Styela clava: one gene and its partner. The protein of the gene in region 2 binds, or shares a complex with, the protein of the main gene of each other region. Links are inferred from orthologs where the notes say so. Each region holds a gene or a part of one and is shown on either strand. Other genes may lie near its edges. The genes, in order: BBSome complex member BBS4-like and BBSome complex member BBS7-like.

Evidence for each region.
Region 1: BBSome complex member BBS7-like (region 2) and BBSome complex member BBS4-like share a complex: the UniProt entries of both Caenorhabditis elegans proteins name them as parts of the BBSome complex. The link is inferred for Styela clava from reciprocal best matches to the Caenorhabditis elegans genes osm-12 and bbs-4.

The regions. Positions count from the first base shown.
Region 1 is NC_135260.1:19,649,591-19,666,597, forward strand, and holds the start of BBSome complex member BBS4-like, read right to left. Parts: upstream 8,493-17,007; 5' UTR 8,401-8,492; coding exon 8,374-8,400; intron 8,189-8,373; coding exon 8,110-8,188; intron 6,314-8,109; coding exon 6,234-6,313; intron 5,725-6,233; coding exon 5,549-5,724; intron 5,483-5,548; coding exon 5,353-5,482; intron 4,785-5,352; coding exon 4,664-4,784; intron 4,522-4,663; coding exon 4,391-4,521; intron 2,345-4,390; coding exon 2,192-2,344; intron 1,649-2,191; coding exon 1,477-1,648; intron 1,404-1,476; coding exon 1,334-1,403; intron 765-1,333; coding exon 632-764; intron 262-631; coding exon 150-261; intron 1-149. Other genes in the region: uncharacterized protein LOC120335694, read right to left, coding at 10,138-10,980. UniProt on the Caenorhabditis elegans protein: Component of the BBSome complex. The BBSome complex is thought to function as a coat complex required for sorting of specific membrane proteins to the primary cilia.
Region 2 is NC_135263.1:9,592,548-9,609,763, reverse strand, and holds the start of BBSome complex member BBS7-like, read right to left. Parts: upstream 8,224-17,216; 5' UTR 8,103-8,223; coding exon 8,067-8,102; intron 7,819-8,066; coding exon 7,684-7,818; intron 7,614-7,683; coding exon 7,438-7,613; intron 6,846-7,437; coding exon 6,653-6,845; intron 6,014-6,652; coding exon 5,874-6,013; intron 5,326-5,873; coding exon 5,145-5,325; intron 4,863-5,144; coding exon 4,651-4,862; intron 4,096-4,650; coding exon 4,005-4,095; intron 3,151-4,004; coding exon 3,031-3,150; intron 2,684-3,030; coding exon 2,513-2,683; intron 1,828-2,512; coding exon 1,682-1,827; intron 978-1,681; coding exon 813-977; intron 212-812; coding exon 1-211. Other genes in the region: coiled-coil domain-containing protein 166-like, read right to left, coding at 8,778-9,665; NADPH-dependent diflavin oxidoreductase 1-like, read right to left, coding at 12,069-12,213, 12,286-12,499, 12,975-13,207, 13,770-13,909, 14,002-14,146, 14,731-14,872, 15,282-15,476, 16,279-16,381 and 2 more. UniProt on the Caenorhabditis elegans protein: Component of the BBSome complex. The BBSome complex is thought to function as a coat complex required for sorting of specific membrane proteins to the primary cilia.

The DNA of each region.
Region 1 (17,007 bases), on a different chromosome or scaffold from region 2:
TTGTAATTCGCAAATGCTCTGATAATTCTAACCATTATATGGCTATAACGGATTAATAGGGCCAATATTCGTTCATACATAACAAATTTCCAGTTAAAATTTCACATTACTTAAAATAACGAAATAATTTTACAGCACTCAAAACTTACTTTTCTTTTTTCGTTCTTTTGAAGATGACTTCGGTTTCTCATCTGGAGGATTTTTCACGAATTTTTCCCCAACATTGATGGCCACACCTAGTTTCTTAGCTGTGTCAATAAGCTGTTGAAAATATCACAAAGTCACTCAAAAATTAAATATTACCGGTACGTAATCCTGAACATCAACTTCCTGGACATGCGGGAGAAAAAGTGAATCATCGAATTTGAAAACAATCAATTTGATTCTAATACAGGGTTAAAATAATCTGTGCAGTGCAGGCTACACATTCCAAAATTGGATGATAAATGATACAAAAATTGTAGTTACCTACTCATCTTGATACATATTTCAATTTAACCCCGGTATCTGCAATCAGAATTTTTCTGCTTATCTTCACAGACATATTCAAAAAAGACTCATTTTCACGCCCTTGAAGTAAAACTTGTACAAATGCAAACCCGCTAGTCCACAGTCGATAATAAAAATAAACCTCTTTGTCTAAATTAGGATCGGAAGAATCTTTCATAACTTTTTCAAGTTTTCCGAGTAATTTCTGAGCTTGTTTCGAATCTTTCGTTTGTTGAAGAAACATGATATAATTGATAGTTATGTAAACATCATCACTAAGAAATGAGAAAAAGTACAAAATGTGAGTATGCGTGAGAAATAGCGTTATCCAAAAGTTGTTTTGACATTGCACAACATTACATCTCTATGAGGCTCGGACTAAGTTAACCAGATGAAATAACATAACTAAATGATTGATTTACTGAAAACAGTACATAAAAATATTTTCCTGGCTTCGCTATCATAAGAACAAACCAAATATTCAATTCCTAGTAGCGCCGAGGAGTCGAATGTTTCTACTGATATTGCAGTTGGAATTTCAAACTTTTAATAATGATAACAAATGTCAATTTGTCTGTAATTTCTGACAAAAACTTAAAGAAAATCAGTTTGACTAAGCATTGTCCACAAACAATTAAAGAAAGCATGAATCTGCAAATCCTATCGTTCCAAAAATTTGTGTTTTACAGAGATGAGCTGGAGTGAGAATCGAAATTTCCTCTCCAAGTTCAAGTAGTTAGCTGGTAATAGTTGGCAACCATGACATATTTTTAAGTATTAATCTTTCTCATCCTTGATTTTAACCAATCTTAATGTATGAACATATTGCAGCTAAAGATCTCACGGTTTTAATTGAAGAGCTTCCTGGTATGATTTTCTTGCACTCTCAGTTTGACCAAGGTGATTCAATGAAACTAAAATTGTAATGATAGTTTTGTTAGCAAATATATGATAATTTTGAAAATGTTCGTATTAGTGACTGCATACCTGCAATCAACATGTAAATATCAGCATTTTTCGGCTTCAATCTTAGTGCAGTGCTCGCAAACTGAAACGTGCTTGCATATTGCTGCATCGTTGCATGAAGAAGACTCAAATTATATAAAATTCTCCAATCGAACGGTGCTAGGTATGTTGCTCGCTTTAAACAACTGATAGCCTGTGACAGGAGAAAATTAATAAGGTCAAATAAGGTTCAACCAACAAAATTCAGAATTGTTCGCTCGAACATGACAAGATTAAATCAAATATTTAGTAGAACACTATTACAATGCCTCGTTTTTTCTTTCATGACTTTATAACTAACCAAGATGGTGGCACACTTCACCATTTTTCATTTAGGCTAGAGACATTTGAAATTGTTTGGAGAACAAGGTTTTACATGAAACCTTGCCCTTGATTGGCAGACAGACATTTTGTTTATCTACCATGAAAATCAAATCTGCTGTCGATATGGCAGCATATTAGGCATCTATGAAGCAGGTCATTTGAATGGCAATTGGGATCAACCCTATATCCATTATAACCATCCATCTTGGGAATTAAGAAACTGTGGTCTTGCAGAGTAGGATGGATGCTGATGAAAATCTTCAAAGACGAGTTCCATTGGCATCCCAAATTTCGTTACTAACAATTCAGCAAGACTAGTTTTCAAATTCTAGATACAAGCATATAGTTGGCATTCTCAATCACCAATACTTACGGCAACATATTTCTTTTTTCCGTAAAAGCACATTGCGATGTTATTCCACAGTGCTGCACTTTCAGGAGCTTTTTGAGCAGCAACTCTATATTTAGTCAGAGCTACATCAAAATCACCATGTACTTGCATAAGAGAACCTGCTGCTAATATTGCCTGTAAAACAAGGATAGGATAGGATAGGATTTACATATTTATCCCGAGGGAGAGGAAAGCCGATAAGACGGCTTATCCATATGGCGAACCACGGCCTCTCGTCCGGTTACCATTCCAAGTCGGGTATGGGATTAGTTTTACTGTATTGTTTGTTTTCGGAAGCATGGACTTGGTCGAGGAGGAAGCCGTAACCGACCAGCGGTTACGTGAACCACCCAACGACAGCGAGGGGTCCAGCAATCCTCTCGCATATAACCATCCCTGCATGAGATTCGAACCTGCGAACCCTCGCAGAGTAATTAGAGGTGCGGTGGCGAGCGTATTCCTAACGCTTAGCCCGTTGAGCCACACCGCCGCGCCAGGAAAGTATGCTTCAGTTAATGACAGGGAGAAGAATTTTGAATGCAAATTCAACGCTTGCAATGCTTTTAATTTGAATTCAGTCATGATTTCTATAAGTAATATTTGCAATTTTCACTTTTATTCATGTGCTCAGCATATGTCACCATCACCATAAAGATGTAATTTAGAACACAAACATTCAAATGGCTTTGAGATACCACGAAATACAGGGTGACTCCAAAAAACAGGACCGATACAATATGTTCCTAATGGACTGGGTTCTATTTTTTCGGATCAATCTATATTTATCTTACTCTGATGTTTGTTTGGTACTCCCGAAGTATGTGAACCAAGATGGCGGACACCGGAACGTGGTATAGGCCTGATTACATGTCCACTGGGACCGGTCTAGCAGACTACATATGGAAACTATTTCACGCTTCAGTGGTTCGCCTGCGATTCAAATTCGTGCTATCGGTCAACAACATCACACCACCTATCGAGTAGGTCTGGAAGTGAGCTGCACTGGTTTTGCTCAGTCGCTTTGTCCTGCTACTCGAGAAATCGCAGTTACGTAAGTCGATCGAAGGGGTACCGGTATGAAAGTTGCTTTCTTTTTTATCTCTGGTAAGTGAGTTGCATTTCAACAAATAAAAATTTAGCTAAATAGTGCTAGAAGTTCAATGTAAACCTCTTCCTCATCTACTGTGTCGCTGTTGAACACAAATTTGAATTACCGGTACTTGTACCGGTGGGAACCCAGTGCGGCATGCTTGGTTGTTGTTTTGAAACAGAATTAAATCTTATGTCCAAAGATTTATTGGTATGAATTGAGCGCAATACGACTCTTGTTGATAAACTTCAGTTTCCCATTTCCCAATGAGAAATTTTTTGGAAATTCACCATACAGCGATAACTCATCCCAGTTGGTACCGGTACCCTAACTGTACATACCGGTACAAATTCAATGCTTCAGTGTCGGTAACGTCCCAGTAGTAGGGCGATATTAAATAATGAAAGTGCTTCTATTTGCATGTGATGAGCCCACTTCACACAAAGTGTTCGGTTGATAAACTGTAATTGTTTAAATTTGGTTGCCAGTAGACTACTGGTAACTGTAGGATTACCGTAATTTTTGAATGGATCGTGTGGCATAAGGTGCGAACCTGCATATAATTTTGATATATACTTTAATTAACATTTGTATTGAATTTATTGACAATGAAATATACGCAGTGTTCGCAAATCATGACTTATTTGTTTTAGTCCGGCAGCTCTAAAACTGTTTCTTATCTCGTTGGTTTGGACATGTAATCGAGGGTGCTAAGTGGTCTCCGAGACCACTTCGACATTTCCGAATCGAACCGGTTCGCTGGACTGGTTTTGATGGACATGTAATCAGGCCTTATGTGTACCAGGCTAAAGTTAGGCTATAATTTCAGGTTCGAATACTAAGGGAGTCACTTGGCTAGTACCCCAACTCGTAATAGAGCTAAAATAAGGGCAATTGGAATAAAATTATGACCTAAGCCTAACCTGGTACACATACTACGTTCCAGTGTCAGCAATCTTGGTTCACATACTTCAAGAGTACTGTTTATTTTATATGTGTGATAAACCAAAAAATGTTTGTGTGTATTTCCGCGTAATGTCATATTTACATGATGTAATGATACATAGGATGCAAAAAAACTTAATAAATACCTTATAATTCTCAGGGTCAAATGTCATTGCCTGACCAAGTAATTCAAAAGCTCGGTGGAAGTCTTGCATCCTTAAATATAACAGACCAAGAGTAGTAAGAAGATCTAAGTTTTCTGGAGAAAATTCAATACCTGAAACAGAAAGGCACTCTCAGATAAAAAGACAACTCATGCACAACATCAAATGAGAACAATGTAAGTAAAACACTGAAAATGTTATGCATTAAGAAATGTGTTAAGCCATGGATAAATGAAACATATCGTAACATCTCACCTTTCTTCAAAACTTCTACTGCTTTATCCATTCTACTTGTTTCCAAGTAAAGACGGGCTAACGTTGAATATGTAATGTCATGTTTACTTTGTTTAAGAGCTTCATTGAATGCATCCTCTGCCTAAAATAATAGTCAGAATATAAAACACAAAAATGAATTACTAATCCAGATGAGAATTTGGTGAAGGTAGCCTTCTCTTTTTATTGTACAGTACATTTCAGGGATAACTACAAATATACAATTTCTTTTATCGAAACTTAGCAGATAACTTTGATCAGGTAAGCAGTAGTTATTTATATAAAAATTCAGATTAAATGTACTAGACTTGTTACGTTGTTAGACTTGAGTATTCTTATAGTTCAGGATACAAAAACAACAGGTGAACCGAAATGCTCACACAAGGGATGTTTCCCTAAACATGGTCTTCTTTGTTTATTTCCATAACAATGGCCAATCAACAATAGGTTCAAAGAAATGTAACAATTTAAAATCAAATCATAACACCTTTTAAGTTTCGAGCATGGGTATAAACACTGACTAATTTTTTGCAAGCTTCGGTTTAATTCGACAGTTTCATTAATGCCCCCCCCCCCCCCCCCACAATAGCATTGAAAATTTTCAACAGTAAAACTTCAGAAAAATTTTGAAAGGTTTAGGATCAGGAAAATATCCATTAATAATTAACCACCATATCATATTGTTTCAAATGTAGAAAACAATCTCCTAGTTGTTGAGATATTTCCCAGTCATCGTTGCATGATAAAACTGCTGCTTGTTTGTAACATTCTATAGCATTCTTGTACTTCCCTGTGAGAAACCTGAACATTGAAATAAACAGTTTTAAATCCATAGCAAAACGTAACAATTCTAATCCCAAAACTTACAAATTCTTTGCAACTTGTTTCAAAATTTCAGAACTTTTTGGGTTGATTTTAGCACAAGCTTGTAGAAGTTCTGTTGATTCTGCAATTCTGCCTTCAGTTCTAGCTATCATTCCTTGAACATATAGAGCGTATTCACATTCTCCACCAGTTTCTGCCAACTGCTGTAGTATCAAGTCCTACAAAACCAATATCAATATAATTTTGACACGGTACGGTAATCACTTCTCTCCTGATGATCAGCTTTTAGACATGATATCGCCACAGTACCAAAAGTAACTTATTCAAAAATGGACTTTTTTGAATTTCTGTCATAATGGACCAGGGCCCATCGTTTGGTCTGGTTTTCGAAGCTTTATCTGTTTTGGGTTTGATCCTATGTAGTGTCGCCTTACATCCATTTTTATGTTTGCTCTTAGAACCAAACTAATACAAAAGGGCAATTTTTCAAATTTAACTGTGACATAAGCTAAATGGATCTACTGTGACAATATAGGAGACTGAATATGTAATTTTTTGTCATCTTTTAACCATTGTAAAAGGCGGTCACTTACGTAAATAAATGTAAGTGATTAAAAAAATCAGGTCAGTACTATAACCTTAAGCTAATGTACAGTTCCTTATTTATGACATAAAGCTGACATATACTTGTCTTTTGAGTAAATTATTTTAAAAAAGGATTGAATACCTTTGCAGTGTGAAACTCTTGTCTGATGAAATGTTGATGAATGAGCCAGTTTCTTCTTTCAACAACTGGGAGATCTACAGCTACAATAGAAAAAGTGATTCTTTAGCATAAAATCGGAAATATTAAAACTAATTTGAGAAGCAAATATATTAGGCTAGGTATATTTAAAGTTATTATTTTTTATAGACATATAAACCTCGCAATGAGTTTTAAACCCTTGCACTTCCATACATGACAATCATCAACATACGCATATTAGGCTAGGTATATTTAAAGTTATTATTTTTTATAGACATATAAACCTCGCAATGAGTTTTAAACCCTTGCACTTCCATACATGACAATCATCAACATACGCACAAGGTGACTTGCAGATTTAGGACCGGGAACTTCCAGCTTGAAGGCTACAGTTTCATGAAAATTTCATGTGTGTTGTTACACAAGTTTTTGTTAAATGCTGCAATTCTTAATAATGTGACATCAACAAGTCTGGAAACAGCAAATTTACATTTTGACAATCCGCTATTTATGGTAATTAACATGGATTCAGATTCTGGCCACAGAAACTTGCACATTGGCATGATTTTTAGAGTATATTTTTGGTGTCGTAGTCTCCTGCATAAGCTGTGATGCATTTTGTGATATGGTAAGCAATGCAATAAAATTTTTCATCAACAAATACCGGTATACTACGAACGGATTGGAAGAAAAATGAGTCTAGTTGGCAGTGTAAAGATCCAGTTCCCATTCAAACTTGTTTAGACGTTTCATGTTTGAATATATTTCTTTGTTTTGTTCACTTTTCATTCGAAATACCATAAAAAGAATACCATAATTATGTTTACATTTATCGTTTTGTTCGTTTTTGCAGACAAATGACAACTGAACTATTTTTAGATTTTACATTTTACTTAAAAAAAGTAACAATTCTGGAATTTATTTGGCAAACTTTGGCAGAGAAATAGTTGAAGATATTGCAATGAAGGCTATTCATTCTTTGATAAGAATAATTAAACAAGCGCTGGTGCATGAATCAGTTGTTTACAACTTCTGCCTCTCTTTTGTTTATGTATAAAGGGTAAACATAGGTAGTATTTGATTTTATGACTAGTTTATAATTCCTTAAAATCAGTCCATATGTTTATAACAATAGACAATGAATAGTTAAGGAGGTGTTGGTTTTCGAACAGTTATTAAATTGGAATTCCAGACAACAATTAACAATAGGCTACAGCAATGAGTATCAACATCACCATTAAGCTAGAAAGAAAGCTTATTTGAAACTGTATATACTTGAATATGCAATTCAAGAGTCCTGCTGCGCACTAACACAAATATATTTCTGTAAACGTATATTTCTGTAAACGTTACAGAAATATATTTGTGTTAGTGTGCAGCAGGACTCTTGAATTGCATATTATGGTATCTTATTCCTGCTACAGCATCCTTGCATTACATGCATACGGATCCACTAGCGCAAAGGCATAGAGAAAGGATTGGGAGTTAGTCTCGCGCAACCTCTACTGATCTGTATATACTTGTACTGTTATTAAAAAATTCAAATATTCTAATTCAATCCGATTTGCATCGAAGTGTGATATTGAAATATGACAATATAGATATACCTTTTGCTTTTCCCCATATTATCAGTTCGAATTTCAAATTAAGGAATATTAAACCCACAGCACCACAGTATTATAACAGCAATAATGATTTTTGATGACATCAAATTTTTACACAACTGCATGATAAAAAAAGAAGCAAGACGATGAGAGCAATATTAAATATATCAAAATATTAAACATTTTAAGTTGTCCTGCATTACGGGATGTGTTAAATAATAAAATTCTTTCATGTATATAAGAATATTACTTACGTTTTTTTGTTCGAACTCTAGGTTTTGGAGTAGGAGGCTCTACTGTTACTTCTTCCTGGTTTTCTTTCGGATTTTCGATCTACGACAGGAATGTAAAAAAAATTAATATCAAATTCATAACATTGCAGTAAAATAATCTGACACAAAAGGGAATTTATAATTATGTAGATATGACAATCCACATTTTTTTAACTTCTTTTTAAAATTTATGATGACAAGAATAGAATATCAGTGGCCTCACACAAAAAAATTAAAACCATGTACCTCCTCATTTTCTGTGGATCCGGGCATAATGTATAACACTGATAGCAATTTATGCTAATGTGTTCATATTTGTCTAAATACTATTTTGCTATTAAAATTAAAATAACTATGAATTACCAGTACACATTCACAAGAAAATATATTCATACACAAAAATAATAACATCAGCAAGATCATGTTATTTTATAATAAAATTAAAACCAGATTAAATTATTCTAATTCATCTCAAACAGGGCTGTGGAAGTTTGGCATGTTATTATTGGAGTTGAAGCCATCTCTTCACACTACCTTGAGTCAGAAGTGGAATTTTGAAGGTCATAATTGAAACTCCAAAAAAAGCTAGAGACGAAATTTTCATCATTTTTTTCAAGATTTGTCAGGGTTCTGATTTTTTTTTTAAAACCAGAGTCTGTTTTAATTTAATACAGACTCTAGCACTGGCGTCAGATTAGCCCTTCAATTGAATAAAGCTATAAAAAAAAATAGCCAATAAATTTATATCAATTATTTTGAGATTAAAACAGTGAAAACTCATATATATATAAGTTGCAATTTGAAATAATTGTCATGAATTTAAATTGGGCCTATTTATAAGATATGAGAACCCTTGCATATGTTCATTTTGCTACTATAACCACCACAAAATTGGTTAGGCCACGATTCATACCAAACTCTAACAAAACCAATTCATGATATATCATAATTTTGTTGTGCGATTGAACAATTCAAATTATAACGAGAAATATAAAATAATTATGTACATAATATGTGCAGATATTTTTATCACAGATCATTTAAATGAACTTTATTAAAAAACAAAGCAGCCACAAGAAAGAATGCTAGCATTTATCATTATTATTATTCCGTTTCATGAAAAGCGACTTATTAAACAAACCAAAATCTTTTTTGGGGAAATAGTTTATAATAATAGAGTTGTTTCAAATGTTATTCACATGTTATTTTAAAACTTTTGTGTTTGAGTTATGGCCATTGGCCAGTAATATTCACTGTATAACAACAAAGCATACAGACTCAAACCTGAGCTTTTGCTTACAAGGAGGACACTCAGAACAAAATGGGGAAGTTAACATAATTAATGAGAATATCAATTCAAGATACATCATAAATATCAAGCCTTTTTTTATAAATAACAGTTTTTGAAAATGCAGCATATGGTGGAACACTGTTTACTATGCTTATAAAAGTATATCAACCTCATTACCTCAATGCGAATAAGTGAAGAAACACTACATTATTTATTTTTAGTTCAATATGACTAGTGTACTCAGTTGAATAAAAAACGATAATTAAATTTGTCACAAATCCTAAACAACATAGGTAAAATTACATATGATAAATTGAAGCAAGCAATGTATTTTTGTTTTTGGCACAATACTTAATTACAGTGTTGAACATTGATTTTTAAATAAAAATTTGGCAAAATTACAAAATGAATCTCAATAAAAAATTATAAATAAAGAATTTTTTCATTAATATACTGATATAACTTAATCCTGAGTTAAGTTTATGTTACATTGATTTAAATTGATAGTACAACCTACAAATAAAAGGTAAATTTCAATTTGATAAACATAAAAATTACAATGTTGAATAGGCCTAATGTATAACATGATAACAAGAGAAAAATATATCATATTTACAACTCATGATAAACTCAAGTGAGAAAACATGGCACTCCAGCATGACATAAAATTTCACTTCTAAATATCTAGAATGGGAAAAGATAAAATATAAATCTAGGAATTAGTTTACACCAGCAACTGCAACAGGAGCTGAAAAGCTTCTTTGCTTGAGTTGCAGAGGACGATATGCACGATTACTTGGCATTACAAAGGGTACAGGAAGTAGAAGATTAGAATTTGGTCCTTCAACAAAAAATGAAGTAGTTTTTGGCCTGGCTCGACTTTGTTTATTTGAAGGCTTAAAATCAGAAGTAAATCCAAGTCTACTGACTGGATTGCTTCCAAGTCCATTGCCACGATCATTATCGCTCATAAGAGCACTTTCCACTCGGTTTTGATATGACTGGAAAACCTCATTACGTGCAGCCATAATATCTATTATTTCTGGTTCTATTTCTTCATACAATCGGGATTCCATTGCAAAATCAAGAGGCGATGGCAATGGTCTTGATGGTAAATCAACAGATCGCCGCGTTGAAAATGCTGTTCGAGTGCGAACCGGTGTAGGTCTGGGTTTCTCTCTTACTGTCGCAGATGCAGGATTTGCCACATATTTTCCTTCAAATCCCCTGGTATACTTTCCCATTTCAACAGTCATTGGAAAATTGGTCCATTTTCCTCTGGGTGTTCTTGGACAAAAAGTTCTCTGTGATGGAAATTTGAAATTATTCTGATCTTTTAATGGAATACCTTCTTTGCCTGAAAACCCAGCATTTAAAGAATGCATTTGATATTTTCGAACAACATGTTGCTGATAGTACGAGTCACGACTACCTTTATCGAGTCGAACAGCATGCCCTCGATAAAGCATTCTAGGGAATGCTGCCTTTTTTTCATAAGGTGGAGAATATATTCCATATCCAGGAAACACTCCAGTACGATTAGAATGACTGACAATATCCATCTTTAGAGTCACATTAAGTCATTTGGAGGACTATTCTAATGTGTTGCATTTGTCAGTTAGTAATGGCTGAATGGCACAGAATACTGAAATATTACATCTGTTTTAATAAAAAATAATTCATATAAACAAAGTGATCATTGAATTGGAGGCAATGTACTTAAACGGCGTGTATCCTGAGATAAAATTTATATACAAGCAAACGATAATAGATACCGGTATAAGATTTTGGGACCTACTGAAGTTTGGGACCTGAATTCAGGTTGTGTACCAGGTTGAGGTTCAGGTTATACGACATCTTGGTGCGCATACCGGTACCGTACTTCAGGAGCACCAGATTTTGAATTATTGGAATTCAGCAGCTTGATCATAAGACAGATTTTCCACATACAGATATACCGTAGGGTACCAAATTGCTTAAGCCGCCAAATGTACAACTACAAGCAAGGCAACCGGTACCGGTACAGCGGTACCGGTATGTTCCATTTGTTTCTTTCTAATGGCGTAATTGAAACAGGATATTACGAACAGTGAGGTAGCATTAGAAATAGCGCACAATGAACAATGAGGGTGTATTATTATCGCGTTGGTACACCAAAGTTACCCTAGCAGACATCTCTCAGCAGATATCTCTCTCGTTTTCGGAACGGTGAAATAGGGTTGCCAGAAATCGATTTAACATTGCGTATAAAACGCGCTGCGGAAATATGAATGCTGGGTGAAATTCAGTTGCCAGATTTATGCCCTATTATAATCACCGTATTCCACGTAAACTTTCGTACTTTTCAATGGCCGGCCACATTAATAAAAGTGATAAAAAGGAAAACACATAATACCATCATCTCGATCAAAGTTTAATGAACTTTGTATGTCGGAAAAATGATATGATTTCTTGTCAAACATGGCCCAAACAAGAATTATACATCGAAATCACTAAATATCGGTATTACACCCAAAAATACTGCACTTTCCGACGACGTGCCCCACTTTTAGATAAGATATCCCAAAAGAGCATATTGTAAAGTCATCTCGAACTGAGTTTCATGAAATTTGTATGGGGGGAAGATATAATGATATCTTCTCAAACATGGCCCAAACAACAATTTTACATCGAAATCACTAAATATCGGTATTAAACCCAAAAATACTGCATTTTCCGATGACGTGCCCCACTTTTAGATAAGATATCTCAAAAGAGCATATTGTAAAGTCATCTCGATCCGAGTTTTATAAAATTTGTATGGGGGGAACATATAATAATATCTCCTCAAACATGGCCCAAACAAGAATTTTACATCGAAATCACTAAATATCGGTTTTAAACCCAAAAATTCTGCACTTTTCGATTACGTGCCCCACTTTTAGATAAGATATCTCAAAAGAGCATATTGTAAAGTCATCTCGATCCAAGTTTTATAAAATTTGTATGGGGGGAACATATAATAATATCTTCTCAAACATGGCCCAAACAAGAATTTTACATCGAAATCACTAAATATCGGTATTAAACCAAAAAATTCTGCACTTTTCGATTACGTGCCCCACTTTTAGATAAGATATCTCAACTGAGTATATTGTGAAGTCATCTCGAACTAAGTTTCATAAAATTTGTATGGGGGGAACATATAATAACATCTTCTCAAGCATGGCCCAAACAAGAATTTTACATCGAAATCACTAAATATTGGTATTAAACCCAAAAATTCTGCACTTTTCGATTACGTGCCCTACTTTTAGATAAGATATCTCAAAAGAGCATATTGTAAAGTCATCTCGAACTAAGTTTCATAAAATTTGTATGGGGGGAACATATAATAATATCTTTTCAAACATGGCCCAAACAAGAATTTTAATATAGGTGGTCTCTCCGTCGCCTTCATCTCCGTTTTCGCTTTCGTCAATTTGTTTGCCGGGCGGCCAACTACGACATGGCGTGGCGGAGATTTTGGGGACGGAGTCGTTTTCCGGCGTGGATTATCTTTTGTTGGCTCTGGGGACCAACGATGTTGCAGGATCTGTTGGCTGGGGCAAACAATCCCGAGTATACGCCGAGAAGCTGGTCGAAGCCAGCAAGCAGGCTTATCCGGGAGCCAAGGTTTGTTCCACAACTATATCTGGTCCAGTCCAGGTATATTTCTGTAAATAAAAAAAATTTGTTGTTTCAATTTGATCCAAGTGATAAACTTTTTAGTACTTTTTTCTCGGCATCGTACCAGAGCAGTGATTGATGGAGCCTAATCATAAAATATAGATATTTTTTGGATGTACAAATCCACTTAATATTTGTCGGGTTGACAGCCAATGTAAGAGAATACATGCTTCATTTTCAGATACTGTTATCGAAGATATTGTCCCAGTCAAAATGTTCCACTGCTGCAGCCAATAGGGACATGGATGCGATTGCCAAGCTGCACTCTATACCTCTTCTGGATCTTGACGTTGGCAGAAATCCTTCGTATTGGAGCGACCATTTACATCTGTCGGATCGTGGTTTGGCGAGATACATGCAGATTCTCGAGTCCGTAGTAGCAAGAATTGTACGAAAAGGTGGGACGTTTATGGTGTCATTATTTTTGAAAAACGCAACATTCAGGGTATACGCTTAAAAAAATTGTTATTACTATATATATATTCAACTTCCCACCTTTTCCCTGTATTTGCTGTTAGCTTTTGACATGTACATACAAGAAATCACTTTTTTTCAATTTCGGTTGAGATGTGTTTCATGTATTCTATGTCAAAAATCTTGAAATGACCTAAAATTCACCAAAAAAATTAAAATTATTTAATTAAAATTATTTTTAAAAAACAAATCTTCTTTTTATCAATTCAGGTTATTTTAGTCACTAAAAAGTTATTCAAAATGAGCTTGCATTAATTCTTCGAAATTTTACACATAAAACAAAAGAAACATATCTTTGAAATATCAAAATAATAAAAAATAGCACAAGCCTGCAATTATACTGAAAGTATAATTTTGGGGAAATAGCCCCTATTTTTTAAATACAAAATTAAAAAAATATTGTTCGTTTTCTCCAGTTTTTGTGGCGTAATGAATCAAAAAATATTTATTAGAAGCCGGTAACAAAATGAGTTTTACACAGTGTAATGTATTGAAATTATAATGATGATTCGTGCAAATGTTAACATATGCTAACAAAAATTATTTTTAGACAAAACTCCCGAATCTACACAAATAACTACTGGAAGCATATTATGTAAGTATGACTCTTGCTTGTTTTTGAAGAATGATTTCCCCGCTGTAGGTTTTTCTGTTGGAACTGGGACAAAATTAATCCCTACTTCTAGTAGATCGATTTCTCGACGAAGGAAAAGGATCATCTGGAAGCCCTTCCTCCTCGACTCTGTTTCATCCTTCAGCACTCAGCCCCACCCACCCCTCGTATCTTTGGTGTTCTATGCCAGTGTGGTTGTTCGGCCAAAAACTTCAGTTTCTTTGCAACCTGCGCCATGTTTGCGTCCCTCTCATTCCCGACCATCTTACGCCGAAAGGTCTCTACGGCCTCATCTTTCACTACTTCTGTCGTTTCTACTGGGGCTATTTCTGATATTACTATGCTGCACGGGAATGAACAGCCAAAACATACTAGCAGGTCTTTTTTTTCTCCTCCTCCCTCTTTTAGTAGATCTGATAAAGTCAAAAGTAATTGTCCCATTCCACGGAAGAAGTTACAGAGATCATCTTCGCCTGATAAAAATGCTTACCCTTCTTTAATTTATAAACAGTCGGGCGGTGTGTTTTCCGAAAACAAATTGTCAACTCAGTCGTTGGTAACTGCAATAAATGATATGGGATCATTTAATCCAAATTCCCAAGCAGCCTGGAGCAAATTAGCAAAACTAATTTGGAACAAAAAATTTGCCAAAGGTGAATTGAAAAATTATATTCGAAAATTGCAACATTTTTGGAACAATAACTCAAAAACACTGAAAATCAATGAAAATTCATTTCCTGACACATCAGGCGATGAAGGATTTAAAAATACCAAAAGGGATGACCATTCTTCTGATTTTCATTCTGAAATTAAAATTAGCAATTCGACTACCAAAATTTGTCACAAAGAAAACACACCGCCTACGTCCCTGAAAGAGAGCTGTGCTAACAAATTGAAGCAGGTTAGTAACAATTCATACATATTTTTAGACGCGCATGGAACTGATTTTGATGATAAGGTGCGCAAACCTCAGTGCAAGCACATGGTATTTGGGAACGTGAAAATCCAATAAAAAATGCAAAATTTAAAATGGACACCAGGAATTGGAACAGTCTTTTCAACTCCGTTGCTGGGCAAAAAATAAAAAATTCTAATTGGGCTGATGTTTTTAGAGAAGCTATCAAAGAGAGTGACCCTTACTGTTCATATGCATTTCGATGGCACACAGTAAATTCTGGAATATTGGCTAATCGTATTTTTGCTTGCAGTGGGCATTGTTGCTTCACAGGTTGCAGTCGCAAAATTTCTGTAGTATCCTATCGCAGAGACCTCCGCATGTTCCATGTTAGGTATTCGGGAAATAGGTATCACGTTGGTATTAAATCAATCCGACTTAAGGGAAAACGGCGGAAGGAATTGAAAGGAAAATTGATTCATTCTCTTCCTCGTAATATGTATTTGAAAAAAATTGGTGCGCTCTCTTCCGATGTTTTTCATTCTGGTAATAGGGACGATGCTCCGTCACAGGCTGTATCAAAAAAGGCGCGATATGAGGCTAGAATGGTAAATGTCCCAGATTTCGATAATCAATGGAATTCGCTTGACTGTTTAAGAAAATTTCAGGCCGAAAAATGCAATAATAAGTTAATTCGTGGAACCTTGCAGCAAATTTCACGAGTTCCACCAGGTATTATGTTGTGGTCGGAACAGTCTGTAAGAATATTTATCCATAATGCTCAAAATGACATAATTTATATTGACGCTACTGGTGGGATACTTCCTTCCGGTGCCCAAAGTCCATATTACATTTACGAAATAGAAAATCGCCATCCCCAAAAGGGCAAGTCCCCATTTGCTGTTGCAACGTTTGTTACGAATCGGCACAACATTGCAAATATTTCGAACTTTTTGTCACAATTTCGTTCTGATGTTTCGAAATTGACCAAACGATTTCCCGCAAAGGCTTTTATATGTGATGGTAGTATGGCCCTCATCAAATCAATAATTCAAGTAATAATGCGCGAAATTCTTGAGGCCTACATATCGCGCTGTTATTCGGTCATTCAAGGCAGTGCGAATTTGGATATGCTTTCCCGACTCTTTCTTCACCTATGCACCAGCCATACCATGAAAAATTTTAAGCAATTAGCTTGTAGGGTTCCAAAAGTAAAACGTGAACTCATGTATATATTTGGGTTGCTTGTTTGCTGCAAATGAAATGAAAAAACTTCGTAAAATCGTTTACCATTTGACAATAATATTAATAGCCCTGAATTCAAATCTTGTTGCTAATAGCTGGTCTTACTTGAAAAAGCGTATCGAAAAACAAGATATTCTATCCCCACCCGAATGTGTTTTCAATCAGGATGCATCTGATGAACTTCTACCAGATGCAGACTGGAGTGAGAGGAATCCTTTTACCGAATTACTATATCTGGATATTGCTAGAGCTACAAAATTGCTACTGACGCTGGTTTATGTGGTTCAAACTGTTTTTATTGCCCGGAAGTAATGACTAAATTTAAAACATTTTATGTGCCCAAAATTTGTTTGTGGGGAGCTTTGCTAGTAGGTGATTTGGGCAGGTATGGTAAAACAATAGGCTATGAAAAGTATAGACAATTTTACGCTAAATCCTCGGTCTCTAACAAACTGAACTTAGCAAAAGATAATCGAACGCAGGGAATAATGGAGAAAAGTCAACAGGAACTTAAGCGTACTCGTTTTAACAACAGGCGGTTTAAACGTCTTGACGAGATCGCTGTAGTGTATGATCAACTTCATGATTCCCTAATTAGGGAATATCAGGATAATTTGATTGTACGTCCAAAAAAGTCGAAAACAGAGACCAAAT
Region 2 (17,216 bases):
TAATGCATCAATGAGTTGAACCTTCTTGGCTAGCATCAACTGGTAATCCAATTTAGGGTGAATTAAACTTAAAGTATGTGGAATAGATGACTGATTGAAATCGTAATTTATATTCAAATTAATTTTTCTTCCTGTTGCTTCTTTTGTTAAAACATCTTTCAAAATTGATATGGTGGAAATATTATCAGATTTGAATATTCCTTCACCTTTCCTGGATAAAATGATAAGATCCCAGTTGGTCATCTAACACAGGGCTTAAGAATCGGAAATTTACATTTAAAAAACTGATTCTGACAAATTTTAATCCCAACTCTGGCGTATGACTCTATATTAAAAGAGATTTTGACCTTTGAAAAATGTAGGCATAGGCGTCTTGTCTTCTTTGTCTGTTGAGAATGCTTAGACAATTTATTAACTTTTTAGTTTCTGTAGGAAATTTTTACATCGATTACCACCTATTAAAGTCTGATATTCTGACTTTGAATAATTCGAAATTTTTCATCAAGTCTGATTCTCGACACAGCCGTGAGGGCATAAAAGTCAAGGCGACTTAAACATATTATGGCAAATTATAGCCACCCATTTTTGGGTTGGATTATTCAGCCAATCAACCTCTACTCCAAAACAGATTCAAACACATTTTCCTTTTGTATATAACGCTTCTTAAATGAAAATAATTCTCCATCCAGCTGTAAAAAGATTCCAATAACATCTCAAAACATGACTTTTGTCCATACGTTAGAATCACTAATTCATGTTTTCTGTTGTATTAACACAAAAAATCTGTATGAAAGTTTGAAAGTATCACTTACTTGTAAGTACATTCAAGAACAGTGTCCAAAAAGGTATTCACAAAGCTGAATGTGGCAACATCATCAGTTGGTGTTCTGTCTGGTACATCTGGTAAGCTGTATGCAACCCATGAATGCATTTCTGCCAAGCTAAATGGTCCGGTCAATTTAAGCACATTCATTGGCCTTAGATATAAAAATATGAAAATTTATACCACAAGACAGTTCACTTTCCATTGTATGAGATGGCATTACCGTCTTTATTTTCCTACTTGAATTCAAAAACACATCTAGATATTCTGGGTTTGTTATCGGTCATCAATAAAGTGTACAGTATAAAATTTTGCAATATAAGACATTCAATTATTTGTGTATATTGTTGTTCTTACTATATCATAACCAACACGATTAGGGATTTAATAATTACAATACATTGGGATGTCTCAAATACAACTGAACCTATATTATCTTGCATGTAGTAGCCTTAACTATAACAAATGGATTTCGATAGTTTCTGACCAGAAAATTCGAGTGAATAGAAGGCAGTGTCAGGTAGAAGTCCCTAAACCTCGAGTTCGAAGTCGATAACCGAGTTGAGTCTCACTGGTGGTGAGTTCTGTACAGGTATAAGTCATTTCAATTACATGATTAGAGTGGCTTCGATAAATTGTAACTCAAGTCTTCTCAACATTGAAGAGAGAGACATCTAATGCTTGGGTACTCTGACCACTGTTGTGAAAATAGACCCTTTTCATCCAGCACAGCCTAATAATATTACACTATTACACCAGGTTTAGATAGACTAGGATTGATATAAAATGTATGTCAATCTGGGCTCATCCACCTCTTTGCCAACACTGAAAATAGATAACTATTTAGAAAAATATTACCTGTTATCATCAATGAAATGGCTTCTTTGATGAAGTGAAAGAGGTTTGATGACAAATTCTCTAACAATGCAAGTCTTTGGTTGAAGTTGTGGTGTGATGTACATTCGCAGAAGTCCATATTGACCTTCAATCGATCGAACTTTTAGCTGAATAAGCAAAAACAAAGCATTTTGGTTTGATAATACAGTGATACCTCAGTAGTCTAACATAATTCGCTCAGGATTGGTATTCGAGTACTGATTTGTTCAAGTACCAAAACTTTTTTTCCATAAGAAACAATGGTAATTATTTTAATTCGTTCCTACACATTTCAAAATACCCAAAATATTAACAAAACGTGTACCCAAACAACAATAATTATTTAAATCTGTACATCTGTACCAAGATATCACAGTTTATTGTATTCATATATCAACATCATATTTCAGGGGACCACCTTGTTACGAGAGTTAAGACACTTTGATATCTATAGACGTATATGAATTATAAAGACATAGGCACACATAATGTCACACCCTGCTATGTTTTTAGCCCTGTTGCAAACAATAATGGGCTGGACTCCTCACTGTTGTAGGATGGTGCATGTTCCATCCTGATATCTATTCCCATGCTTCCTTTCCTCCCTATAGTACTCACATGAATATGAAATATCCTACCCTTATATTTTGAAATATAGAACTTAAAGCCTATCTCCTTACTGCCATGCAGTGACATATCCTAGCCTTTACCAGCTATTTTGCTTTAAATCTTTACCAGCTATATTGCTTTAAAGCAATGACTCAGTAATTATTTTATATTATATTATATATAGGCTTTATTATTAAATCTCACCTCAAGTCGTGTAGTGCTAGACTGGCATCTGTAGGTAGCAAGCAGAAAATTCCCAGAGTTGACATCAGAATAATTTCCACCAGTAGATGAAGGTGGACCAGATGTACATGGGGTATATGAAACAACTGCTGAGTTTTTAGCAACGTCCAAAATATCTATCGGAACATCACTCTAAAAATAATAATGTAGAAAATGACTTATAGTGCAAGTTATAATTTTTTTAATGAAATGTTTGTCGACATTGCATATAGTAAATATTAGAGAAGAAATCTAAGCGAAGTGGCCGAGTGTGATTTACGGTATCAGACTAAACTAAGTCGAGATTGCAAGATATTTTTCGGTTTCAAATCCAAATTTCTGTTCTTCCAAACTCAAGTAGCTCTTTAACATATAAATATGCTGTATATTATCGAAAAAAAATTTGAATAGTAAGAAAACCTACCTATCAAGTTTCATTTAAATTTTGGTAGCAATTTATTTAAATTAAACTACAGTAATAAAAAATCAAGCTCACTGACCTGTAATACTATGTGGTCGATTGGTGTTTGGACTTCAATACTTAGGTTATAACTTGAATCAGAAGGTGATAGAACAAACCTATCTTTCACATGAAATATTGCAGCACGAGACATTGTTGGCTAGATGGGAAACAAAAATATGTATTGAAATTCAAGCTACACTTAACACGTTGCCATTCCAGGTTACACATCTCTGGTACAAGTCTCAAGACAGAATTTGATAAATTGGGTAGGCCAAGCATCAGATGAAAACCGACAATCACAATGTCATGAGCATTTCCAGAAAATTTAAAAAAGGCTCATGCATATGGAAACCACACACGATATTCTAAATAAACGTTTGATTCATGATACAGATCCCATATTCCAATGCATACCGTATTAGCTCGTTTAATAGCCCGGGCGCTTATTTTTTTAAACATACTCAGTACTCACTAACCGGGCCCTTATTCAAACTGGCCCTTATTCAAGCAGGGGCGCTTGTTATTTTTAAAGTAAAATTACACACAAAAATACTGGTAGATAAGATCGATCGTTACAATAATTAATACCGTATATTGTCATTTCCAGTTCTCAAGTATGATTTAAACGAGAATAATAAAAATTTAGACTTTTTCTACGCACCGCAGATACAAATCCTCAAAAAAAAAAAAATTTTTACACCGGGCGGGTATTCAAGCACCGGCCCTTCTTTATTTTCATGTCCTGTTCACACGGGCGGCTATTCAAACGGGCCCTTAATCAAGACCGGGCGTTAAAACGAGCATTTACGGTATATGTATAGTTCAGTGTTGGTTTGATCAGCACGGTCATATTAAGTGAATAATATGTGATTGTGAACGGCCCAAAATCTGTCTTGTGTCTTCACGCTTTAATCTTTTTCCATAATTAGTAATTAAAATTGCAATGCTAATTATATTTACAAATCTTTTTTAAAATACACCTAGTGCCATGCTTCAAATAATATATCTCACCAATTCGTTCTTGTCAACAGGTTGGGTTGCTCTTTTCCTGTATTTGTCTCTTTCAGAAGCAACTTTCATTTGTAATTCTTCTATTTCTGATCTGAATAATGTAACAATACGATTATTGATTGAAGTAGAGTGGGTCTAACTACAATTCCTTTCTCTGTGCTTTTGTGCTAATGGATCTGTATCTATGCACCATTGCAAGAATGGAAATGGATAAATTGTGAGGCCCAAAAGTGAACCTTGTATAACACTTTCAAACTTCATTGTGTAATATTTGGTCCAACTAGCCGGACTTCCTCAAACAAGCAGTTCACAAATGTTGTGATGCAAGTTGAGCGCTTGACCCCAAAAAGGCCAAACTTGAATAAACTGTTTTGATAAAATGTATATTTTTCATTTTCCTGTAACTATTTATTGAAATATTTTGGCGTCAATTGCACAGAATTATGATTAGATACCAGCTTAATAAGCACCTATTTCTGTAATATTTTCAAATTAATTTTCTTTCGAAATTTCAATTCCTGCATTTCGTCTCGAAACTCTCGGATTACTGAAAATTCAGTTGACATATCGACATAAATATGAAAAAATGTCCCTCTATTACAATGTTTGATCGTAGATTAAAATTAAAAATTTATACCAAACTAACTTGATTTTATTGATTTTTTGTAAATTTTCTTGGTCTTCTTGCTCATTTGTTGAAGAAGACAGACTTTTAGAGCGAGATGATCCAATGTGTTTAGTTGGTGGTTCTGTTGTCAACCCGATTACCCAACCGGAATAAGTGAGCAAGACAATTTCATCAAACCCTGTTGCTCCAATGACGCCTCCTTGTATGGCAGTAATGCTTTCGTTGAATGTCTGAAATATTTCATGAAGTCGTTTTTCACCTAATAAGAACTATGGTAATTATATAAGTAAAACGAAATCAAAGATATGCCTGCTTAGTTCCATTTGCTTTTTACAACAATGTCTATTTATGTAATTTGATCATATCATGGCCATGTACAACAAGCAGCCAGTGGGTAATACCTAACGAAATCTAAGGAGTTGCATATCACATATTACTTTTCATAGTATCATGTCGATATCAAGTTTCTGGCAATTTGTGAATTTAGTTGAGTCAAGCAAGTGTGTACTCACATGAGAATATCTTAACGTTGGTTCTTCGCCAATATCATAACTATAAACTTCTACTGTACCATCTTCTCTTCCCACCAAAAGATCAGGCGTTCCGTTCCCAGTCATATCATGATGTGCCAAGCAGGATACCCCACCTAAATTTCTATCATTAGGTAGCTCCCATGTATGATTGGGTTCATCCCTATCAATAAAATGTAAAAGATTAATTTTTCTTGATTTTGATGTCTGCTTGATATTTGATTTAATCATGGTTTTGTTTGATTTCGTACGAACATTTTTTCACTTGATCTGTAAAATCATTCTTCAAACTAGAACACACAGAGTGATATTTTGAGGTTGGGATAAGAATAAATGTTTTAATATATTGTCTATAGACCATTCAGGTCAGACAGGATGATAAATTAGCACGTAAACGGTCAATATACAGAATATACTCAGATGGAAAGTAGACAGAAGCTAATTGGTATAATATTTTTACCTTGACATTCAAGTGATTGCTCAAAGCCTTGGCCGGACAATGCTGGTATAAATTTAAAACCGGGGTACTGGGGTACAAAAGGGTTAAATCTTAGCACTACATAACCCCCACCTGAAATAAGCGTCCTTGGGAGGACTGGGCGACTTTCTAAACAACCTCGTAATAATTTTAAATTTAAACTGATCAAAATAGTGGTTTTATGATATATGGTCATTTGATAGACCCTAGCAACAGCTCTCAGCTCTACATACCTGCCAACGACAATATGGCCAATCGTTCCATCTACAGTCCCATATATTATTTCATTTCCCTCTTCACCTGCGTTACCAAGGTAAGGAACTATGCATTGTGGAACACCAGCTACTTCAATTTCATATCGTAGCTCAGTGCCCTGTATAAAGATTTATTTAGAAATTATACAATGAAATTAAGCTAGGGAGCTTTATGTAGAGGTCTAGACAAAATAGGTGGAGAATAGCAAAAGTAATCAATTCCAAAGTGGACAGATAGACAATATAATAATATCGAGGATGGTTATTTAACATCACCTATATTTTGATCAGATGAAACCATAAGATACTGTGAACATATGTATTGCTGAGGAATGTTCTGCAATTTGATCCATGCTATTTAATGCTTTGTGCTAGATAATTTATCTGAAACTTGTTTATCTGAAACTTAATTTATCAAAGCACATCATAAATATTTGATGCCAATAGGTATTTGAGAATCAATAATATGTGGGTGGCTGATAGCTGGTAAGTTATTGCTCTATTTACTATCAAGTCCATGCATCTGAAACAAATAACTGGTTATTTATTCCTTTATCGACATGAACTGGTAACGGGACGTAGGACGTAGTTCGCCATATGATTAAGTTTTGTTATTAAATTTCCTATTCATGGGATAAATATGAAAATTCTAAGCTATATTCAAGATGCTGAGTTGAGATTTAAGATTCAAGTTGATAAACAAAAAATATCCAAAGCACACATTTTTTATTATCGTCAAACTTGTAAGATCATCTTACATCAAGAACACGAAGTAATCTGTCATTGCAAGCTAGAATTGGTGTGAAATTGTCGCCTTCTTTTCGAAGTACAGGAATACATATGATATCATTTATTTTATCGCTGCTCAGATAATATCCTTTGTCAATGCAATCACAAAAATGATTGTAAATATATTCTCCTGCAATGAGAAGGTCACTTCCGCTCACACAACTAGAAATGAAATTGAAAATAATTAAATCATAAAAAGAAACACGAGGTTTTCTATACATTTTATCTAAACAAGGCATTTTATAAGCACCATAAAGATATTTCTGGTCTTGCAATGACAGGGTGAAGAGGATTTAGAACTGAACAAAGACCTGAAAATCTTTGGCCTGTGATATCATGATAGCCAAGACGCCACATCAGGCAATTATTTCTGTATATAAATGTGATTTTGCTTTAGTCACTCAGGTGATCTTACTTTGTAATATTTTATACAAAAATATGTAGCAAAATTTTGCAAAGAACATTTATATCATAGCTACAATAGAGCATAAAAGTTCGATAAAATCAAATTCTATATCATACAGAAACTATCCCTTAGATATACAGGGTGACCCAAAACACAGAACCCATAAATCGCAACAATTACGGTAATTAAAACATTATTTAACATTTGAAATTCTTTTTGTGTATGATTCTACCAAAAAGTTTTACTAATCTAGGATGCTTCACACAAAAGTTATGTTCCCTCCAGAATATGTTTTAACTGATCTAGATTTTGTATTTTGGGTCACTCAGTTAACATTTATTATCTTACATGCACTTTATGTTTTCTGTAATATTTGTGTCAAATCCTAGAAACTTTTTTCCTTTTCTTGAGTAGCCGTGCACAACAGAACCAGATGCAACAAATATTTTATCTTGCGGAGTTCCTAATGCACCACCCAAATCCAGAAAATTGTTTGGTTCTCCTGGCAAAGTCTTGAAAACATTCTGAAAAATGAGATTTTACCATAAAAAATTGTTTATTTTGCAATCCGAAGATAATAAATAAATTATTTACAGAAATATCTCTTTTTTTCGATCCAAAACAAGTAACAACCCCGCTCTTGTCCGCAACTACAACTTTCTGCAAAATTCTTTTTGATTTTTCATTGTTGGGTAAAACTTTCATGCAATTTTTTCCGGTAACTGCGACCTGTGATATGAAAAAACATATAGTATTGACAATGACAAGTATAAATTTATCTGGTATTTTGACATCATAAATGGAATTTTATCTAAATTAAGCCGAGATGATTCTCTGTCAAATACAACTGTTAATAGTCAGTGCCCAGAACATAAGAGCATAGTTCAATGCAATAAGCTCACAGCATAGAGGTTAGCTTACAAGGACTATGTCGATGTTACAGCTTGAGTAATACTATAAGCAAAATAAAAAAATACCTGCAAGTAATCCACCCTGTGAAGATCCAAATCCATGTGTGAAAAATATTCTAATAAATTATTTATACACTATAAAAATACAGCGAAGTTGTCATAAATTGATAGATACAGTGAGTGATATAAACTGGAATTATAGGAAGCTTTAAATGATACAAGCATGTAATGAAACTAAAACAAAATAAGTTGACAGTGAAATACATAAATACTGGGAATATTTGAAAATGACTTGAAACTGAAATAAGTATGAGTATATATATATAAGCCTTAGAAATCTTATAATGCCATACTATAGAACAAACACTAAAGAGAACATGGAGACATAAAATTTAAAAATTATACTGTATCAATGCCTAGGTTTTGTTCCCTAAATTATAAAAATATATCGAAAACTATTGAATAGTTGTGTTCTACTGATTGAATGCAACAAAAAGTTATCACAGAATATCACAATGAATTTATTTCGCCACAAAATTACAGTAAAGAAACTGAATTGGATTTCAACAATAAAGTTGTTATAAACACTGAGAATAATGATAAATGGAACCACAAAAAAAAATTCTGGGTTAAATTAAAAAGAGTATTTAGCTATCAATGATATATGAAACAATCTTTTAATTACAGAATGTGACAATTTCCCTATATTTAATAATAAATTTCAACTAGCGGTTTTCAAAATATCTCAATATGAAGTTTTTGCTAACGATTTGGAATTCATTGTTTTTCTTGTTCTTCTCTTTCCATTTGTGCCAGAGCTTTCTTTTGTCTCACGCCACGTAGTTTACGAATATCTTCACTGTACTGTTGTTCTCGTTGTAGCTGCTTTTTCTGTTCTTCCAATTCTTGTTTATGCTGATTTAAAACCTGACTTCTTCTGATTAAATTAAGAAGTTCCGCTCTGAGTTGTCGATTTTCATACTTTATATTTGTTGTATGTTCGTTCAAACATTGAACAGCTTTTTTGTTAGCTTCCAGAGCTAATGCTTGAATTTTATTTTCACTCTCTTCAGTATATTCTGCCTTTTCCTGCAAAAATTTTGCTTTCAGCTGTTGAATTGTGTCCGAATGTTTTCCACGCATGTGTAGAACTTCACGCTCGAGTTGCTTTATTTTTTTCAACTGATCTTCACGAAGTTCTCGATATTCACCTAAATCTTGAAACTCTTTTCTCGCTTTTGTGAGTAAACTTTCTTTTTCCAAAAGAGTTGCTTTTAACTTATTCTTTTTCTCTTCATAATCCGATAACATTTGTTCTTTTTGAGAATTTATTTTTTCAAGTTCCTTCTGGTTTTGATCGCTTAAAGACACAATTGTTGTTTGACGTTTATGTGTCTTTTTTGCCATGTATGACATGTATTCATGGCTTTCAATTCTGGTATGTTGAGCTTCTTGTTGTAATACTTCATTTTCTTTTCTGAGTTCCTCTGACTGCTTTTTAAGTCTTTCTAAATCGTTAGTCAAATGATTCAGTTCTTTTTTTAAATAAACTTCTCTGTCAGTAGGACCTGTAGGCTCCTTAGCGTTTTCTGCATCATCAGCAGGTGCTTCATCTGCAGCTGCCTTTTTGCCCTTCTTTTTTCCACCTTTCTTTTTGGGCGGCATATTATGTTATCTTAGTTCTGAAAATAAATTATACATTGATTTATTATGTTATGAGAGTATGATAAGTAGCCTGATAAATATTTCAGTGCATTTTATATCCCGATGCACTGATAACTGTATGGAATATTTGAAAATAGCGGCATCAATATTCCTTACACCTCCAGACCTCAGTAAGCCTATATTAAAAAATTTAATATTCAAATGTTTTGAGATCATTTACCATAGTACAGTAGTAGGTTAGTATACTAGTATGTTTTATGTTATAACATTATGATAGGCTATACATCCACCAATGACTTGTGGGTCACAAAGCGACAGTGAAGAATTAACGAAAAGAGCATAAGACTTCGAACTATATACTACTCTGCAGTTTATAATTCACGCATACAATGCCTTCAAGAAAACAAAATTTTATTGACCTAATTTACAAACATAGCAATCTGAAATAAAAACTGAACAGGATGGATTTATGTGATTGGATTAAAAATTATAATTCTCCTAGAGTTGAAATCCTTTGCAAAATCTTTTCAATCCCATAAGACGATTTGCTGTAGTATTACTGCATTGTAAACGATTTTCGATTAATTTATACACATGCGAATCCATGTTTTTATAAATCAATGTCATAAACTAGAGTACCATAAATCACCACTAACTTCTGAACTTATAACTATACCTATAAATGTGGCATGTGTGAAGCTCAAAGATACACAATACAAACCAAGGATTATAAAACTTGTGAAAAAGATGAAACATCATGTTTATAATTTTGCGAGCTTCAATGAATATCTATGACCCACTGTCTTTTTCCCCAGTTTCCACAATCCAGCAATCACTGAATCATGCAATAAAAAAATGATGATTGGCTCATTCATGAAATACAGAAATAAGGTTCGCCACCAATGATATAGGTTTATGTCCACCTTACTGGGTCACAACCTATCGAGGTTGCTCAACTTTTGAACTATTAATAAGACTTGAATGGTCAAAATTGTAAATTGCATAATGGAAAAACACAGAAACACCGCGGTTGGACGTGTCGGTTAACGTCCTCGTGCCACAGTTTGCAGAGAATCGTTGACGCTGAAATCTGAAAATTGCGTTAGAACGTCCTACTGTCCTGTCTGGATATCAATTTTGATGTGAAAAAGCGCGCTACACGAGCAGTTAAGTCTGCTTGTATTTCATAATTTACAAACAGTTGTGGTAATGAACGTCAGGGCGTAACGAAAATTAGGCAAAAAATGAAAAGCGATGTTGGTTTGTTTTCTGCCGAAATATTTCAAATTTTATGCTTGGATGAGCAAAACCTTGGTTACATCATACGCATGATTGATTTCGAACGGTAAGTACGTCAATTTAAATTATTGTGACTTTCTTGACATGAATAAAACAACAAAAAAATACAGTCATACGAAACTGAGAGTAATCCTAGTACGAGTACCGGTATACCGTAACTAACACCAACGTAAGCAACGTTCAAGCACGCGGCCACTCACCAACTAGACAGTATCGTTTTATTTTCCCATTAATCAATAATGAAAGAATGTTGCGCACCCTGTTTTTACCTAAAATTTACAGGGGTGAGCTAGAACTTTCGGTTGCAAATGAAATTGTTCGAACTGGCTTGAGCCACAAATCTGATCCTAATTCGAAAACAGCAGGCAACATCATTGCTCATCATCTTAAAATGGCCTCAATGTCATTCCACCAGGAGCCCAACTACACAAAAAGTTAGTGGCCAGCTGATAAACTTCCATCAAAACGTACATCTGAGATGGCTGCATTATCGCTATATTCGGATAACTTCTAACAGAAACAACTTGCTGAGGAATCAATAAGATATTGTGGATATACTTTACAATATTATTACACCTTTGTTCACAAACAGTTGCTTATTTTGAAAACAGACAAAAATGATAAATCATCATATGATGATTAATTAATTTGCTAAAAGCATCATTAACATCACGGAAAACGGATCGCTATATTCAAATAACTTCCCAACAGAAACATCTGGTTTTATATGGTCGGATGAACACATCTATCAAATAATGTACCGTATCTGCTTTCTAATATTATAACCCCTTCGTGCACAGACAGTTGTTCACAAACAGTTGCTTATTTTGAAAACAGACAAAAATGATAAAATTATCATATGATGATTTATTAATTTGCTAAAAGCATCATTAACATCACCGAAAATGGATCGCTATATTCAAATAACTTCCCAACAGAAACATCTGGTTTTATATGGTCGGATGAACACATCTATCAAAAAATGTACGGTATATGCTTTCTAATATTATTACACCTTCGTGCACAGACAGTTGTTCACAATAAAAACAGGCAAAAATGATAAAATTGATTTATTAATTTGCTAAAAGTACGCATTAAGATGTGTCAAGACCATGTTTCTTGTTGATATTTTTTATTTTTCTGCATAGTTTCATAAAATTCAAATGCTTCTTTTTCGGTCATCTCTCCAAATTCTTTAAAAATCTTCAAGAAAGCATCTCGGACACTATCCGGCATGTTTTTTGAATTCCTAAACATAATAGAGATAAGATAAATTGATACTGACTAAAACAATGATTAACTTATAATAGAGAATACCTACCCTGCTACATAGATATTTCCATTGCATTTACTAATAATATCCCACAGTAATTGACCATGTTCCGCTATCCTGTGCTGAACATAAATTTTTTCATCTTGATCTCTTGAAAATGCAGTGAATAATTGCAGACATCTATCTTGAATCAAACTATTCCACTCTTCTTGAAAATAAAAATCAGCATCCTTATTCCGACATCCAAAAAAGAGAACATTTCCTGAAAAAGGGAATTTTACATGCAATGCAATTACGTATTTCAGAAATTTTCAGTCTAAACCAACCTATAAACCAGTGCTTCTCCACCTTTTATAGTTGTGGAACCGCGATATGCTATTGGGCTCATCACAGAACCTTTACTAACAATTATCCAAAACAGCCATAAACATATAAGTCAAATTTTTCAGTGTTGGACACTCTGACAACGAAAAGTCATCACAGAAGATAAAATGGCTCAATGTTGCTCAATGAAATATTTATACATATCTACACTATTCGAACGACTTCTGGTTTTATTCTTTATAGTTGGTAAACTAATAGATATTGGAAAATTGACACAGAGAGAAACCACAACTCGAAGAGAAACCCCAACCGGACACTACAGAATTCTCAGAACTCACCTAACCCCAGTTGAAAAGCACTGATATAAGCCAATTACAGTATCAACAGTGGGCACTGTGTTCAAAATCACCCACCTTTCTCTTCATTGCATACTCGTTCATGTATTGCACTTCGAAATGGGGCTACACCAGTGCCTGGTCCAATCATGATGCAGGAAGTACCATTAGGTTGTAAATCTTTGCTAGATGCATTAGGAAAGCTGATACCTCCCGTTTTAATCCAAATTGGAACCTTTGAACCTTGGTTCAAAGTTGACAACCACGTAGAGCATAAGCCTTGTCGAGGGATATGAAGCATGGTTTTGTATCTAAAAGAAGTGAATAGGAGGATAAACAACATCATGTAAAGAGATAGGATTTTATCCAGGTAGAGTAAAGGGAGCTTAAACACACAACAAATTACAAATGTTACTCTCCATGTTACCAAACCAGTCTGATGTGGTAAAACAGTGGTCGTCAAACTTTGAGACGCGACCCCATTTCAAAAGTTATGACGTATGATAAGCTTGTGACGCCTAGGTATGGAAAAGAAAAAAATATTTCAAACCACTAAAAACTAATCACAGCAAAATCTCGGTCCCAAAAACTCTATCACATGCTCTAGATTTTGTGTTACAATTTAATTATTGCCGTCACACAATAGCCTTATTATAAAAGATATCACTGTAATTCAGAATACCCAAACTTGCTATGTAGTGCTAGTCAGCTCAGTGTAGAATGCAACCCAACTTGGGGTCGCGACCCACACTTTGGTGACCACTGTGGTAAAAGATAACCAGTTACCCCAATTTTTCTATAACTAGTAATCCTAGAAATTTGAAGATTGTTTAAATAAGACCACATTTCAAATATCTAAATTCATTTCCTTACTTGACAATTGCCACGAGAATGTGAATTTCATTGACATGTTTAGTAGGTGACGATGCAATTGAAAATGCTCTAGGCTGAATCATTGGAATAATCTCGAGCAATCGTGCTAATGGAATATTTTTGACAGTCTTGTGAAAATCCTGAAATTGAAAACAATATTTAATACAATTAAAATAACTACCAGCAGTTGAATTCATTTAAATAGTGTCAAGCACAACTTTAGATTTTTCACCTCAAAAACTTCCAATATGTTTCTTCTGGGTCTGTTTGCATAACTATATCTTTCATCCGTACCTTCGGGGGTTGAAAATTCAACTAATTTTTCATTTTCCAACTCATCGGATGCAAAATGTTTCAACATTTGGAAGAAACTTCGTCTAGAAATGTAGAAAGATGAGAATGGTAAATAAAATATAAATTTGCAATAATATGGCTTTCCATGATAACCATTACCATTTTATTTTGACCTAAATAATACTAGGTGCATAAATAAGTATGTATATCTACAAATGGCAAGTTGTACTAGTTACTAGATTTTATTTTCCATTTTAGCTGATGGCTCTCAACCCCACTATGAGCAAACCAACTGGTACATATCAAAAAGTTAAAATGTGTAACTTTTATTTAACCCTATAGTAAATTAAAAAAAACTAAATTCAAAGAAAAAAATGGTGTTCCAATGAAAAAAGTGCTACTATCTCTCTATAGTTCTGACTGAATCTTATTTTTAACATCTTACACCAAAAATGAAAAATTGTTTTATTTAGATTCAATATTATTTTAATTATGTTTGCCAGTCTCAAGTCAACAAAACAGAACAAGCGAACAAAATCCTAAGCTTTGTACAGTACAAGGAGTTGAGTATACCAAGTATACCATGAAATGATAAAAATCCTAAAATAAAATGATAAAAATGAACTTCAGAATCCCATACATCTGTATAAAATTATATTCTACCTACCTAGGTACAGACATGAAATCAAGATATTGGGTTGCAAGCTTTTCTAATGTAGTTGGATTTTTCATAGAGAAAGGAAGAGTACTGGAATCATCAGTTGATGTGATCAACATTGTTTTATTTGGGTTTAAATGAGAAAATGTATCTGAACATAAAAATGTATGAAATGAAAATAATTTGTATTAAAATTTCTAATTGTAGTCGTAGACTAATTGCTTAAAATTTATTTTTCTTGGTTGCAGTACTCGCACACAGCAAGCAGAAAAAGTTTGAAGAACACTGATCTATAGATTAACCTATATGCTATCGGTATCAGATAAAATGTTCTCAAACGATAGAACACCAAATAAAATTGCGTGAGGGACATGTTTTGAGTTCAATACAAGTATGCTTGTTAGATGACAAAAAGGCACAATTAACCATATGCATCTTAAGATAATACATAAAAAAGAATGAAAGCATTCAAGAAAAATATCAGACAAAGCAAATTTCAAATTGATTTTTTCCAACATAGCATTTACCTAAAAACAACTGGATAATTTGCAATAACCAACCTAAAAATCTTTTCACATTTTCCTGTGTATTGGATGGTCTGATCATTACAACATCTCCAGGTTTATAAGAAAGTTTTCCGTCAGATTTAGATATATCTAATACCACATGAACTGTATTTTGGAAATGATTGTCTGGTGTAACACGAACATTACTTTTTACTTCAGCTTGGAATGGATTATTGCGACAAAAAGAGCCTTTAAAACAAAACAGTATTTCTTTGTCACCATATTCTTATTATCTTATTTCTATATTAGTGGTTTGCGAATTCGCCTAATAAAACTGCTATTGTTATTTATTGGGGGAACTGACCCTGATGGCTGTATGGTCGTATCGCTCCTCCCAGTCTATATCGAAAAACTTTGTGTATGTTGTTGTATATTTTTATTATTGTTGGAATGCTTGTTTTTTTCTGGTTGACGGAAAAAATAAATCTCTCTTCTCTTTCTCTTTAAAGATTTATCAATTATATCAATTCCCCACACTTCATTTTGATATGATATGATTTACATATTTATCCCGGGGGAGAGGAAAGCCGGCTTATCCATATGGCGAACCACGGCCTCTCGTCCGGTTACCATTCCAAGTCGGGTATGGGATTAGTTATATTGTTTGTTTTCGGAAGCATGGACTTGGTGGTGGAGGAAGCCGTAACCGACCAGCGGTTACGTGAACCACCCAACGACGGCGAAGAGTCCAGCAATCCCCTCGCACATAACCATCCCTGCATGGGATTCGAACCCTTTTGAAATCTAGACATTTTCGATATGATTTTGTTTTTCTTATGGGCGTGATGATTTAGTGGTTGAACCACTAGACTATGTTGGCATCACAGGTCTAGGGTTTAATTTCCACACCCACCATCTCAATGTAATATATTGGCTAGGCAAAGCCAAATTGGAAAGATTCCTGGCTTTCTAAACTATAGTATCTCTTACCTATCAGTGGTGGCTTATTCAGAGTGAAAGGCATATAAAATATGTTCTATAAAAAACATACCCTTATCAGTGACTTTGATTTTTTTCTCCATTAAGTAAAGCTCATCATCATTATGGATTTCAAATCTTGGTGGCGGCAATGAACCTTCTAATGGATTGAGAACCTGTGATGTATAAACTATATAACATTATTATAAGTAGTCGGAAACAAAACAAAAGATGGGCCATGGCCCATAATGACATAAGATCAAAAATGTCAATTTCTGATGCTTTGGATTCACTGCAGCAATATATGCTCTCAGAGTCTTCAATTTCATGATAATGCATAATGTTATATTTCTAGTACTGAGCAAACTTTGCTTATTCCAATCCAAAATTACAGAAATAATATAGAATAGAACATGAAATGTATTCTTGAAATATATTTCTTTTATAATAAACTACAGTTCTGTTTTTGAATAATCATGAATATATTCATTATTCTAAAGTGATATTACCCCAGTTGGTAGTGGATACATCTCTAGCAACCTTGTCCACATTCCTGTAACCCACGGATCAACAGTGGCATCTGCACCCCACTCGTGCTGATCATCAGCTAGTCCAATATCAACAAGTTTCTTACCACCTATAAACAGATAAAGGTAAATAAATTTATTAATAAAGACGATATGACTAATTGGGGATAATAAGGTTGGGTATGGCTGTCTATAAATTAAACCTAAACTGCTAATAAGAGGGTACGTATACACACTTTTTCAAGTACTGTAATCACAAAATTGACAAACATTTATTTCCATATGCGTTTATTCGTAACAGATTATCAAGACCTTCATATTTATAACAAAAAATGTGTTACGCTCATTTTCTTACCTAATTGTTGAATTCTTCTGTCAATTTTTTTTGCTATAAAATTATACTTTGCATAAGATGAATCACCGAGCCCAAGCACTCCATAGCTAAGCTTTTGTAAACTATCATTAGGAAGATTTTTCCTCATAA